Drosophila melanogaster: one gene and its partner. The protein of the gene in region 1 interacts with the protein of each later gene in a biochemical or structural test. Each region holds a gene or a part of one and is shown in the gene's direction. Other genes may lie near its edges.

What was found. Proteins that work in one complex are often made in the same cells at the same time.
Region 2: of the proteins of slmb (region 1) and Hipk, one has a biochemical effect on the other in vitro, tested with the Drosophila melanogaster proteins (one study listed by BioGRID).

The regions. Positions count from the first base shown.
Region 1 is NT_033777.3:21,122,331-21,130,121, reverse strand, and holds the start of slmb (supernumerary limbs), read left to right. Parts: upstream 1-2,636; 5' UTR 2,637-3,127; coding exon 3,128-3,184; intron 3,185-4,737; coding exon 4,738-4,960; intron 4,961-7,528; coding exon 7,529-7,791. Other genes in the region: Obp93a (Odorant-binding protein 93a), read left to right, coding at 405-503, 560-694, 762-918, 973-1,172; CG5793 (uncharacterized protein), read right to left, coding at 1,229-1,570, 1,629-1,775, 1,905-2,001, 2,068-2,144.
Region 2 is NT_037436.4:543,249-550,834, forward strand, and holds the start of Hipk (homeodomain interacting protein kinase), read left to right. Parts: upstream 1-2,810; 5' UTR 2,811-2,950; intron 2,951-4,233; 5' UTR 4,234-4,530; coding exon 4,531-4,819; intron 4,820-7,048; exon of another isoform or gene 7,049-7,206; intron 7,207-7,290; exon of another isoform or gene 7,291-7,586.

The DNA.
Region 1 (7,791 bases):
AAAAATATTTTTCTGAAAGCCTGTTATTAAAAAACATTACTTCTGTTACTAAAACTATTGGCGACAAGGGTATAGATGGATAATTGAATATTCTTATACCTCATTACCTAATTTTTCCGCTGAAAACCATCTACTTTATTTCGTAGCTGTTTTCATTAGTTACAACTTTTAGCTTTGATTAAAATGAAGCAAGTTGCTGACTAAACTAAAATGTAATAAAACAAGAAAATATGCGTTCAACAGCACTTTAGTTCTGTGCCTTCTCATTTCAATTATTTTTTCACAGCATTAGGCGAGCTATTTATGCATCATTAACTTTTAAATTACGGTTAATTAAAATGTGGCTTTAAAACTCAAGTTCAGCTGCCCATCGTACCAGTTTAATTATAAATTTTAAGCACAACATGTATGTGTATAATCTGCTTTTCGTTGTAATAGTTTTTAGCTATTGTGCAAAATCCTTTAATTATACAAGCTGCGATCACGCAAAGCAGCCAAAGTTTGTATGAAAACTTCAAATAAAATCGTGTTTTTATTACTACAACTGAATATTTGGCAGTTGAGCTCATGCTGTGATGTTCAAAAAAACGACAAGGCCATCAATTCGTGTCGCAAGTCCTTGCTGGGCAATAATTCAACCAATTCGAATGGGGAAGTGCGCAATCTTAAGTCGGATAAAGTGGCTTTGCATGCAGTAAGTATCGCTCTAAAATATATCATTTTAAAACTGGCTTTACTCTTGGGAAACGTGTAATCCTCAGTGTATTGCGGAGTGCTCCTTCAGGACCAATGGATTCTTGTTGAGCAATGGCACTGTTAATACCCAGGCATTGCAGAAGAGCTATCAGCAACGCTACAAAAACGATCCGAATATGTCGCAACTGATGTTGAAGAGCCTCAATAGTTGCACGGACTACGGTGAGTTAGCATACGAAAGTTTTTTTCTACTTAATAATGGTTAATTCTAAATAGCTAGGAAGCGGGTGCAGGAGTTCCAATGGATGCCCAAGAAGGGCGACTGCGACTTCTATCCTGCCACCTTGCTGGCCTGCGTCATGGAAAAGGTCTACATCAACTGCCCGACCAGCAAATGGAAAAACACCAGCGATTGCACAGCGATGTGGAAATATTTGGTTGCCTGTGATGATGTGGCCAGTAATAAGAAGAAATAGCCATTGCACATATCCAATTATATCCGAATATAGCATCAAAATTAAATTCTTCACTTTTATTCAGCCTCCACTTGGAAGGTCAATTTAGCGAGATCGGCCATTCCACACTGAATTACATCGCCTGCCTTGAACGCATCGGCACCATTGGGCGTTCCGGTAAGGATCAGATCGTTGGCCTCCAGGGTCATGTACTTGGACACGTAGGAAATGATGTCGGGCACCTTGAATATTAAGTCTGCAGTGCACCCGTTTTGCTTAAGGTCTCCATTGACGGTGAGCCAAAGCGGCAAGTTGTGCGGGTCCGTCACTTTTTCGATGGGTATAAACTGGGACACGGGCGTAGAAGTATCAAATCCCTTGCCCAAGGTCCACGGATGACCGGCCGCCCGAGCTGGTCCCTGAAATTGATTATTGATTACAACAATGGCTCTTGATTGAGTGCATCCATCTTCTTACCAAATTGCACTGGGCAGTTAGATCCAAAGCCAGGCAGTATCCTGCCACATAGCTCATGGCATCTGCCTTGGATACGTTCTTGCAGGGCTTTCCAATCACCACGCCTAGTTCCACTTCATATGCCACCTTGGTAAAGACTTTTGGTAACTGGGGGAATACAAAGTTTAAATCACAAGAGGGATTTTCAATTTCCATTCGTTTACTCTCCAGTTTATGGACTTTTGCTATCTTGCTACTATCTTAATGTTATCTTAATTAATTCTCTGTAGAACTCACCACAATGGGCTGACCCTCCTGGAGGTACGAAGATGTGGGCTTGAGGAAGACGAGCGGCTCCTTGGGCACGGGAACGTTCCTGGCCAGCACAACGTCCCTGCGACGGAAGAAAGTATTCGTGGATTACCCATGCAGACCCAAGATTACTATGACACTGAGTTACATGTAATTGAGAGCCACCCCCACAATTTTCTTGCCATTGCTCAAGAAGTTGGCGGCATTTTGGTTTTGGCACGCCATCCTGAGGATTTGAGTTAGTTGCACTGTGAATTTGAAAAAAAATGTGTATTGTAGCTCGATTATGAATGCTCAAGGAAATGATTAGAATGGGAACAGCTCTGCGGTCGAATGAAAGTGAGCATTCGGCGAGCTGGACGGCACTTACTTGCGCAATATTTATTAATTTAAAAGTGGGGGGTTATCTGGAGAGTGGCCCCCCGCAACAAGTTTATCAATTAAATAACAACAGAAAACGGAGAGAGCGATCGAGAAATCAGCTGATATGGATGTGCAGAGTTGTCAGAGCTGGCAAAGTGTGTTGGGTAGCCATACAATGCTTACAATTCATAGCTCTGAAAGGGAAATAACTTAAAAACATTTCATAAATAGTTGTAATTGCAACAACCTGTTCGAAAATTTAGAGCAGAAACGACGAAATTGTGTGCTCTTGCCGTATTTTGCAGCACTGGCCCGTGGCAGTGTGACCGTTCATATATGTGACAGATATCGATAACGATAGTGCACACTCATCTTTGGCTTTGTGGTTTCGCAGTCCGTATTTGGGCGAGATCTGGTAAAAAAAAATAAAATTCTCCGTGTGAAAAGTGAGTGTCCAGTAGTTGGCGTCATCTGAATAAGCAAAAACAAACAACGTGCAAGCCGCCAGGAGCGGTGAGAATAATGACTTGCATACGACATTCGCTCAATTGGTGAGGGACCTCGGCAAGTTGAGTTTGCCTTTGCCATCGCGTTCGCCTCGCCGTTTTCGCGCATCCCGCCTGCGGTCCTACAGAAACCGAGACGAGCAAATTGTAATTTTCCTTCGACCTAAAAATTATATGAAATCGCTGGCGAAAAGCGATTTGCGAGACGTGTTAACGAAAAATCAGCGAAAAACGCTACGTGGTGCGTGAGTGCGAGTGCGACGGAAAACTCTGGCAGTGAGCGAGTGAGAGAGAAGCAAACGACGAGCCAGTAAACTCTACAAACACACAAACAACACAATGATGAAAATGGAGACTGACAAAATAATGGACGAAACCAACTCCAATGCACAGGCCGTGAGTTTTCGCTAAGTTACCTGCTTTAAGCGGGATCTCTGCCCTTCTAAATGCATTAAACACACCGATTTAAGTACATATTGCCCAAGGTGTCGCCTCAATAGACCCACACACATACACACACACAGGGGCACGCACACCTACGCCACCTATGCGTGTTGTCACACACTGGTGTGCGTGTGCTAGTGCTTTATTTTCGTATATACTACAGATTTTGCACTCGTGCACTCTATTAAATTCGGACACTGTGGCACATAGCCATCCCATGGGCTATAACCTTAAACTCTTGTGGATATTAGACATTAGCCTACTTATTCATCGCCAGCATCATCATCATCATCCCCTTTGTTCAATTATCGTTGCATATATATGTATATATCCCCAATCTCCGGTTTTCGAGTCTTAAGATTTCGTTAATTGGCCTCGAGTTTGTGTACACAATTAATAACAAACGCTGTGCACAAAGTACGGCCGTGTACATTTCAATCAGTACTTATTTAATTGTGGAGCTATATACGATAGGCGGCTTACTGAAGGTCAGTTCGCGTAAAACCATCGAGTAATGGGCCAAAAAAATCGTTTTTTATTTTCAATTTTTTCGCTCGGTTTCGCTTGAGTCATCTGGGCTTTAATTTCGCCGGATTCAAGGTGGAATCTGGTTAATGAGACAGATGGCTTCTTGGTAATAGCAGCGAAACACAAACGAGATATTATTAACTATCAATTAGAGGATATATACATTCATATTGCTTATTGCCACAAACCTTTCTCATAGCATAATCAGTGCATAGTTTAAGTAGCATCCTTCAGCTCAAAGTTACCAGGCAAAGGCAAACAACTAAAGCTTACAAAAACCATAATACGGCAATTAAATTAAGGCAACCGACCCGAATACAACTTAGTATGTTTGTACATACATATTCACAACATTTACTACAAATACTGGCAAGGTTTTCGCATTGCTGGCATTGCAGTTAACTTAATTACTCAAATCACTCACACTCGAATCGACCAATTTGTTTACTTCACGCCGATAAAATTGTTTGCCGAGATCTTTAGCGTTTAATTGATGACGTTTGATTTAATTGGGGCCCATCAATGGGTATGTCTATATATAGAATGCGCATAATGAGCATGGAAGACCAAATAAACATCGATACAATTATTATTTATAAACTGGCCGTGTGAATGATCTGTTTCTACCGCTGCGCTGCCAGTCGCGTTTTTCATTCTTCAGAAATCCGCTTTGCAAACTCTTTCGCCGCCGAATAAAAAAAAAATGAGAAAAATTACGAATAGAAAGAAACGCTCAGCGTAGTCGAAGCTAATTGCCTAATTTTAAGCCCCCAGTTTGGGTCGTCGGTAGCCTAAACTAAAGAAAAGTTGCACAACCAGCAGCTACCTACTTTTCCAGTTTTAACGATCGCCCCTTGACATCGAAGCACCCCATAACACATCATCGTCGCCCCACAACAACAACAACAACAACAAAAACGAAACAAATGCAATCTCATAATTAATTTGCTTCTTTATGCCACTTTTCACCCATACAGTTCACAACCACTATGCTGTACGACCCGGTGCGCAAGAAAGACTCATCGCCCACCTACCAAACGGAGCGGGAACTCTGCTTTCAGTACTTCACCCAGTGGAGCGAGTCGGGCCAGGTGGACTTTGTGGAGCACCTGCTGTCGCGCATGTGCCACTATCAACACGGACAGATCAATGCCTATCTCAAGCCGATGCTCCAGCGGGACTTTATCACATTGCTGCCAAGTGAGTGCCTGCCGATACACTGGCTATTGCCACCTGAGTCCAGTCGAAGTGGAGAAATAACTTCCGTTCATACAGATTGATATATTACGTTCACAACAAAGTATTAGGCCAAGACTGTAAACTGTAACATGTTAGCCAACGACTATGAAAATATGAACGTTAAAAATGCAGTTTTAGCTGTGGATTCAATAGTGGTTATTCTACAAGTGAGGAAATGATGAAGTGGTATATCATATATTAATCTGCATTTTTGAAGCTGTTAGATCTATTCCTAAATATTATAAATATTGAACGGATAAATTAGTCATGCTAAGTCATTCCAAGAACGTGATTTATAACCCAGTTGTTATCAACAGCATGCTTTGTATGGGAAGGTCAGTAATCCCAGTTGACCAATAGAGAAACCAATTCACGCAGCCGATAAGAAGGCAATAACAGCTGTTAGGGTGCGAATTCCACCATCGGAGTTTGACCGTTTTCCTCCTAAAATGAAGGCTCAGAAATGGCTCATCCACCATTAGAATCTCAGGCGAGTCTAGCAGCACAAAGCTGAGTTTAAGCCCTCGACACACGCAATTGGCGAAACAATAACAAACTGCAGGTACAAAGTTGAACAACATGAAAGGCAAGCCGCGCTCTGAACCCGGTGCGATTCGTTCCGCGTCCCCCGACAGACACCCTTGCTCCTCCGGATTGTTGCCGGGCATGTTTCCAACTGTTGGAGTGGAGAGGAGCCCAGAGGAGTAGGAGGAGGTGAAGCCAGTGGGTGGGCTTTAGGTTGCTGGTTGTTGGCTGTTGACTAAAAGGTCGTTGCTTCCATTAAACGCGCTTTACCGGAACACAAACAGAACGAAAGCGGGAACGAACCTTGTATATTATTCATAAGAAAATGTGAATCGATTTATTCGTGGCATCGATTGTTGTCGTCCAACAGATGTTAACTAATAACAAAACTATGGAGTGTGCTACGGGTGCAATGGATATGATTGGGTTGGGTATGGGCAAACAGGTTAACTATGAGTATGAGTATGTGAATAAGCGATCAGTTCGCTTATCAATGCATCAATACGTGAGCGTATCGATGACTCAAACAATCAACAAGAGCTGTGCGTGCAATTCTAGCCTTTGCAAGGGCATTTATACAGAAAACGTATATTTACTTTCGGTTCGTTTGCTCAGATATTCGCTGAAATGCATGCATGCATGCATACCTGTTCTGAAATAGCGAAAAAAGTCTCTTTAATTTGCAAGCCTTTCCTTCCTTGAGCCACCAGTCTGGAATAAGTTCTTTTGAGGAAGTCGTCTCATGCTTCCGTTGACTTAATCCCCGGCGATGCACTCCTTGTTCTTGCTTTCTTGTTATGTAATGACAGTACACTATGACCACTTGGCTTTTTTTTTCCAGATATAACTAATTCATATATTGCTTTAAAAGTACAAAGTTCATGCAGTCACTATAAACATAGCAAGCCATTATGATATGCTTATCAGAAATTAGAATGAAGAGCCTGATTAAAATGTTATAAACTGTCAAGTTTAAATTGAGCTATTAATTTACTTTGCTTACCAAGCATCTGATTAGTTATTCACCAATTAATTGACTAATTTATCCCTTAGGAGCATAGTTTTAAATATTTACTCAAAAGAAAATCGAATGCTAGCACATACGTTTGTATAACTTCCGCTTAGTTGGCATCACTGAGTGTTCTAGAATGAAAAAGAGTTGCAAGTAGGTAACATTGTCCCCTCCATTTACATTGTAATGCACTTCAAAGGCAGCTAAAAGGTGGTGGGGGGGACAGTCGGGTGGACAGAGCGGACGGACGGACGGACGGACTTGCTCGCAGACGGATAGACACTCTTAAGACCGTTAGTCGCCGGCGACGGCAAACAAGTTGAGCCAAATCGCTGCCGCCCGCCAAACAGCCTGCCATTCCGAGTTATGCACATTTTTAATTGTGTTGGGCAAATGCTGCGAACAGCAAGCAGGGAAGGCACTGAATGCGAGTGTGCTCGCATGCACTCCAGACTCTGACTTCTCTGTTGGCCCATCAGCCGGTTTGTCAATACAAAGATGAAGATGTGGATGTGGTTATGGCCATACCCCCGCCTCATCCTTCGAGTGAAACTCAACCACTCCTAACCGTGACACATGTAAATATGCCAGTCTATAGGTTGCGCCTACTCCACAGCCACTCCCACACACTCCCTTCCACACCCACTCCCGCCTACTGGGCTAAGTGCATTTTAATGCCGTTAGGTGCATCATTTTGCCTCTAGTTTGGCGCTCAATTAAAGCTGGCTGATGTGCTTGCATTGCATTGCATTTGATTGGGTTGAGTGGGTGTCTGCCAAGAGCGGTAGCAGCCACAAAAGCTCCACCTCATATCTGATGGAAAATCGGTTATGTGTAGCTGGGGGCCAAATATAAATAGCTGCCTTAGTCAGAAACTTTGTCCACAGAGATGGGCTTTTCCAAGATAATTAGATTACATGGAATCTGTGCCTTGCTTGATAATTACAATTACTTGTGCATTATTATAACATTTTATGATTAATTATTTGCAGTCAAGGGTCTGGATCACATCGCAGAAAACATTTTGTCGTACTTGGATGCCGAATCGCTCAAATCATCCGAGCTGGTCTGCAAGGAATGGCTGCGCGTCATTTCCGAGGGCATGCTCTGGAAGAAGCTCATCGAACGCAAGGTGCGCACAGATTCCTTGTGGCGCGGACTGGCCGAGCGGCGTAATTGGATGCAGTACCTCTTCAAGCCAAGACCGGGCCAGACTCAACGGCCACACTCATTCCATCGCGAGTTGTTCCCCAAG
Region 2 (7,586 bases), on another chromosome or scaffold:
TCCACGTATAGTTGTTAATGAAGCAAAAAGTAAGCGAAATATGAAAAGAAAAGCCTTTTCCCTTAGCTGCAAGTGTGTGTGTGTGTGTGGTAGCGTGTTTTTTTTTGTTGCTGTGTTGTGTTTGCTGAGCGCAAAGAAGAGGAAGCAGAGCTAAGAGAGAAGAGAAACTCTCGAAAATGAATTGAAAACGATGAACTCAAAGTAGCCCACTAGTATGGTGCTCGTGTGCGTGTGTGTGCTGTTGTGTGTGGGAGAGAGAGGGAGCGAACACAAAGAGCGTATCAACATTCAATTGCATTTTTAACTTGTTTTCGCTCTGGAATTTTTGATTTTCTCGCGTTTTTCGATTGCTTTTTGTTAGCAACAATTAATTTACAGGGTTCGTATTTTTCTCTTTCTCTCCTGGGGGGCGGTTTCCACAAGGGAAAACTCGATGTTTCCATTGTTTTTCTCGAATGCGGGTGCTGTTATCGTCCTCTCTCTCGCTCGTTAATTAAGGATTTTTGTGTTTGAATTCCCTAGCTTAGGCGACTGAATTCACAATGGCAAACAATAAACCCGCGATCGGTTTGGTTTTATTTAATCAGCAGTTGCGGTCAAACCCATAGAATATACATGCTTCTTGGCCTCTTTTCTATTTTAATTGATATTATAGCCTCTAAGAGAGAAAAAGTCTAAGAATATTTGCTAAAATTTGTTTATAAAAGTCTTCAAACTTATAATAATATCGTACACTTAACATGTAGTCCGTAAAGTGGGTAAGTCTGGAATGCCCTGGAACTAAATAAGTCTCAGTAGGTTGAATAATTTGTCCACTTTTGGGACTTTTATCCCCTTCCCTCGGGCAATTTTTATTGTTTGGGATTTATTGCCAACTCTTTTGGCATTTATCAAAACAAAAGAGGAACAATAGCTGGCAGGCGGAAATGGAAATAACTGCCTTATCCCTTCTCTCCTAATCTTTCTCTTCTCTCCTCTCTCTCTCTCTCTCTCTTCTGTCACTCGTTTATCCTCCTGTGACGCTGCGTCATCATAATCAGCGTTTGTCGATTCATCAAAGAAACCGCCGCCGGTTGCTCTCTCCACTCTCTCTCTCTCTTTTCCTCCATTCAAGGATACCGAAAGAGAGAGATCGAGAGAGTGCCCCCTCTCCTTCACACTTCCCTCATGGGTTTCCTATGTAAATCATTTAAAGGGAAATTGTTGCACAACTTTAACGAGTTGATTGGAGGGGGAGGGGTGAGGCTTACTGCTTGTGGGTTTTCCCGGCGCAACCCTCATTCCCCCAACCCACTCGCCCACTTTGGCAGCTGTCAATTAGAGCTTACAGGGAGAAAAAATGAAAACCCGAAGCTTCCATATGTTAGCTGTCCCTCCCACAGGTCTCCGCCCCCAACAGCTGTTGGAAAATGAGATTAGGAGGTGGGGGGTAAGTGGGGACCCAGCTTTATTGGCCTGTAATTGATGCCCAGGCTGCCAACCATATTGCTGATTGAATTGTGGCGTTGTCGCTGCAGAAAAGAAGAAGGGTGTGGATGCACAGTCCAGAGGACTGACTGCTGACGTCGCCACCGAAAGCAGAACCCGTTCAAGCTGCAGTTAAGCAAGTCTTCTGCGGGGAACCCCCGGGGACACAGACTTGTCGAACTCGCATCCTGCTGCGCTACATAAACCCCGAAAGTCCATGCCAGATTTAATGACAAAGGCCACCGCCCATTACAATGTTGCTTAACTACCATAATTATAAACAAAAATATAATATTATGTTTAAGGCTTACCTTCTCTTTACTTTTGTGCTTGGGGGAAATTGCAATTCTTTGAAGCGCTGGCTTATTTACATAAGAGTAATAGGGAATTCACCAGTTTAGTTACCTTTTGTTTGGTTGCGCTTTTCAAGTCTAGGTTTTCCTAAGAATTGTTCTCCATTCCTTATTTTCAGCATGCTGGAAACCATATGCTCTCTTTTGATCCTTTGGTGGAAAAGTACCCCCCGTACCTTTTCTTTGGCTCGGCTAAAAATGTGTTCAATCCACGCAGCCATTTCCATCTCGTTCTATATGTGTGTAATTAAGTCTGTCCACGACGCAAGTTTTCCTCAGCGCCTCTTTTTACCCGGCGGCTGCCCAACTAAACCACTTTGGCCCATTCGCACATCGCAACCCCCTCTCCTCGACCCACCTCAACAAAAAACAAAAAAAAAAAAAAACTATTTCACAAGGTGCCCCTTTGCCGGTTCTTGGCCTCCCTTTTGGCTTTCTCCGCCCCTTCCTTCTGCTTTCTGCTGCCGACGCAAATCCTTACGTGTCAAATGGAGCCCCTCACACTTTTGGATGGCGCCCGAACAGGGACATCCACGTAAGCAATCAAGCACTTAATCGGCTATCCGACGAAGGATTACCCCTTACTGGAATTATTCATACCGGATCATAAATTTGTACAGATAAGACCAGTTTAGAGACAGTACTATATAGTATAGTATAGTAAGTGAAAATCCCTAAACATTTACGTTAAGGTCGAAGCAGAGGATACCCAGGATATTATAGGGTAGCAAGGGAAGGAAAAACCAAAACAACAACCACAGAGAAAGTAAGCAAAAATAATTTCGCGATTCGTCCCCCGGGCAGAGCCCTAAAAGTCGCAATTTGAGGGGTGGAGCCCTTCTCTGGAGCGGCAGGAAGTGGGTAGTGGAAGAGCGGAGACCGGGCTTGCGCAGGCGCCTGGAAGAATCCGAAGCCGAGAAGAGCGGCGAGTGTCCGCTCTCTTTTTTCGGCTCTGTGGCAACAAAGTTTCGGTGCCTCAATTCTTCGATTCAGAGTCTCCACAAACGGCTTCGCGAGCGGACGTTGCAGCCACAGAAGATACAGCCACGGCCGTCGAGGAAGTGGCAGCTACAGAAAGCCAAGATATATATCTGCATATACATATGACTGGCGAAGCTGCTGCGAAAAAGGTGCAAAACAAATTAAGATGCATAAATAAACACCGGACTCGCTGGCAGGTGTTTGTGAACTCTGCTTGTGTGTGTGTGAGTGTGTGTGCGAGTGCGGTGCTGTGCGGTGAAATATTACGAAAGAAAACCTTTTATGTTTTGCAATTTTCCCGCAAACAAATCAACGAGCATAAATATTAATTTTGGCTACACCCAAAATGAGATGATGGACAATAACAGCGGCAAGAAGAAGCGCTTTCAGAAACTTGTTTTAGCCCGGTTTCGGATTTCTCCGTCTTCCTCTTCTCTTCTCGGCGACGTAGTTAACTAAGAGCCGTCGTATTAGACGTTAGTTAGAGAGTGCGTGTAAATTGTCGAAGGGATATTGTGTTTCCCAAAGCCCCATCTGAAATATGTATTCTCACTGTTCATCTCTGTAATGAAAGCTGTGAATTTATCAAGTTACTAATCGGTATTGTGCGGATAATGGCCATCAAAACCTTTTGAGCTACGTTTTTCGATTTTACATTAGGCAAGGGTATCCGTAGGATCCATTTACTCGCCAGCTGCAGAACGAAAATCCATTCAGCAAAACTGTCTCTCCCTTTTCCACTCGCTGAGCAATCCATTTAATAACTTTGGAACCGGCTTGTGTTTGCTTTAATTTGTTGTTGTTTTTTGTGGATTTGTTTTTTGGGTTTGGCAACGAAAGTTGCCAATTAGGTTTAATTTTAGGGGGCTTCGTAGAATTTTCAGCAAAGTGCGTAGAAAAGGGTTTCGTGGTGTGTATCCGTGTGGGCCAAAAGTGCGCTAGTGTGCGTGTTGTTTGTGTGCGGGGCCAAGTGCGTATCTCCCAAATGTTTTTATTGTTGTTTGCTTTTTTCGTTCTTTTGTGGTTTTCATTTTTCGACACCCGAAATGTGTTTGTCTTGTTTTTATAGTTTGCTCTCTTTCACGCCGCTTTTTGCGTAGTTTAAAAGTGGAATCAAGTAAAAAACAAAACAATTACAGTAGAGCCTAGATGAGGAAGTTCTGCGTGCAAGAAACATAAAGTTACCAAGTTGCTGTACAAGCCTTTCCAAGGCATTACAAAATTACTTAAAGCAAAATAAAGTTATTTAGTTCACTAGTTAGTCTCCACTGTCAATATTTGGACAACACATTTGAATGGAAAGTTTCAAAAGCGAATTAAAATATAAACGTATGAATGCCGGGCAGGTGTGCGAGTGTGGTGATATGATATTTTTGGTACGTGATTTTATTCGACCATGCTAATGGCTATTGTGTTCTCCCTCTACTTGCAGATTCTCTTTTAATTTGGCATAAATTGTATTTGTCTTGAAAAAAGCATATTCTTGTAAATATATCCTCTTCGTAAAATATTTTACTTAAAAGCCTTAAAATATTGAATTCACGTGAAATTTCAAACGGTGTCACTCGAAATTCGCCAGTGACTCGCCGCCACGTTTTGTACAAACATAGTTTGTAAACATAAGTTTGTAAGCGGCCGGAAAAAGGCGAACGGAACCCAAAAACCCCAATGCAAGCCAACTGAGTGCAAGGGAGACAGCCGACCACGTCGAGCGGGATAGCATGCGCCAATGAAAACGTCCTACCCCCCAAAAGCGTCCGATTTCGTTGACTACGCCGTTGCCGGGGGCGGGGGATCCGGATTCTGTTCGGGATTAGGAGCGGGACTTTCAGTCAGGGCGACGTCCTTCTACGGCGATCAAACGGTAACGGCAACTACGGACGGGACGCGTCACCAGGAACAACAACAACAACAACTGCAGCAGCAGCAACAGCAGCATATCCTAAGGCAACCTGCAACATCCGCATCGACTTCATCGGTAGCTGCAGCAGCAACCAGCAAGCGAAAACGTCAAACAGGTGAGTTTTTTATTAGCCATCCAAATAGTTACTACAGACGTGCACTAGCTTTATTTGTGACTAGGCTTTCGAAATCCCCACCTATAGGTGTCAAAAGGTTTGAATTCGATGTCGATAACATGTGAATTCGATATATTATGTTATGCAGGCAGTTTTCAGTGTAAATCGGATTCGGATAAATATAAGTTATCGGATAAGTTTTTGCTTAGCTAAGCACCTTCAGCAACCACACGAATGAATCATGGGTAATATGTCCGGTTGATTGCCCCTTCCCGTGGTGATAGCACTCATCGATTATTGTGACAATCGCTTAATTTGCTTGAGTTATCGTTATCACACACGCGCCGTGGGCAAATGCGCCCTGTTGTTTAGTAATACTAGGCGCAATATTTATTATTATTGGTTGCCGTGCCATATTTCTGCCTCTTCTGGGCACTCTTATCGCCCGATTTCCCCCAGCGCCTCCCCTTTTTATTGTTGATTATCACAATAGACGCCATGGCAACTTTTTTCTTCTTTATTTTTGGTTTGGTTGGTGAGAGTGCAAGGAAGCGATAATTCGCATGGTGGTTTGTCGCCGTTTTGTATTTTTTGGGTTTGTGGACATTCTTAGACTTTGTTTTGTACTTCGGTTGGTATCTTTGGATTTTCCACGCTATCCGCGATTACGCTTGCATGCTCGAGCATGTCTGTCTTGGCGCTTGAAGAAGATTCCCTTCCATAATCCCTTTAAAATTTGCGATGATGTTTTCGCTGCTCGACTTGCCTGGCTTCATTCACATTATCTGCTCTGTGAATAGTATGAGTTATTGTTTGATATCTCACAAGGTCCCCCGCACCCCTGTTCCCCGAGCTCATTGAAAATTCCAGCGGACGCAATTACCACCCCAATTGTCTCCCAATCTAAGTTTTCGCTTTTGAGCGGCTCCGCCTCTTTGCTCGACTGTATTTTCAGTGTTTCCTTCGCTTTATTTATTTTTCGCTTATTGCGACTTATAAAAATATTTCAGTTGTTGTTTGCGCTCCCCATTCGCCAGTTTGCCAGTTCGCTTGTTGTCGTCATCAGAGTGGCTGGAATTTGTTGTATTATTTTCTTTTTCGGTAATTTTTCCACCATATTTTCTGCTGTTCTCTTCTGCGAAATGTTTATCTTGTTTTGTTTGGCTGGCCCCTAATCGAGATAATACTTTTATTTTTATTATTTTTTTTTTATACGAGAATACGATTCTTTTATTTCTGGGTTTGCTCCGAATATCTCGAAAATGTACGGGGTACGGGTATAGCCAAAAATATTAGTTTTTGCGATATGAACATGTTGATTTTGTGTGTGGCACTTGATTTTCTGGCTGTCATCGGTTAGATATTTGTTTATTTCCACACTCTTATCGTTTGTTATGAATTTCTGACAAAAAAAAGTTTTTGGGGATAATTGTTTCAGCTAATTCTGATACCTCAAAGCATATAAAGTTTATACGCCTTGCCTATCAAGTAGGTGAAAATGTCCGTAGATTTCAGTTCAGCTTTCTTCTCGTGTCTTTTCATTCTGCCCTAATTAACTTCTCGCTCAGCATTCTCGACTTCATCTGCGGTTTTTCACATACATACACATTTCTGGTTTTTTTCTCTGCCTGTCGATCAGCGGCATCAAAAAGTTTCCGCTTACTTTGTTGCCTTTTCATTACTGATAGCCAGCTGCACGTATACTTTCGCCCATAAATCTCCGCCGGTTGCTAATAATTTCAGCCGACTGTGAGCCCTAACCCCGCAGAAGATTTCGCCACGGATCACGTTGGTTTTGAGTGGGTGAAAGGAGCTCAGGCAGCTGTGCACCCAGCCCAGTCTTCCTCGGGTCCAGGTCTCCTATGTCCCCCGTTTCGCCTCTTCTCTATAACCCGCTTTTACCCCTTTCTACGTCTGCCTGTGTAGGCGTTCTTTTTCTTTGCAATTTCACCCGGCTCACACAGATACACACCAACACATGCCCATAACCGGTGCGCCTTGTCTGCTCTCCTTCTCCTGCATTTGACTTTATGCGGGGTATCTCTGTTTTCTGCTTGAGGATGTTACAGCTTTTAAATCTTTATTCGAATATTTAACAATTGTTTTATCTTTATCTGATTGATAATCAGATTAAAGTAAGTATTAAGAGAGAATTGTACATTCTCTTATAATGAAGATTTAGTATGGAACTTCTAAAGCTTAAAGAAAAACCTCTTCACAAGGGTATTTAATACAACTTGTTATTAAATCTTTGTCTACTGCTCTTATCTGCTCCCCTTCTTCTTGTTTTGGGCATCTTTAATAACGAGAATCTTTCACTTTGCCTCGTTGTTTCTGCTGCAGCCTGACACCGTTATTCTATACTCTAGAGATGGCAACGTGAGTGTCTGTGTGATGAGTCAATGTGGGGTAATCACAATTAAACAATATTCGTTTATGGAAAACCAGATGCACCCGGTTCTCGAAGTTACCTGGATTGGGCTGAGACCTCACTGGGAACAGGTTCCACCGTCTGGGTTCCCGAAAACAAACAGGTTCCACATGTCGAACGTGTCCAAAATGGATTCCCAAAGGGAAATTGGTACACGCGTGCATCTCTCATTAAGACTCAGACGGCTCCCTATTCTCCGCCCGCCTTTCTTCTCCTTCTCCTCCATTCTTTTGGGCCCCTTTCTCCGCTTCTCTAGCTACTTGCTACTTGGTTATGTGATACATTAATGGCGTTTGTGTGTGCGTGCCTCTCGGTGTTCCCTTTTGCGACACACAA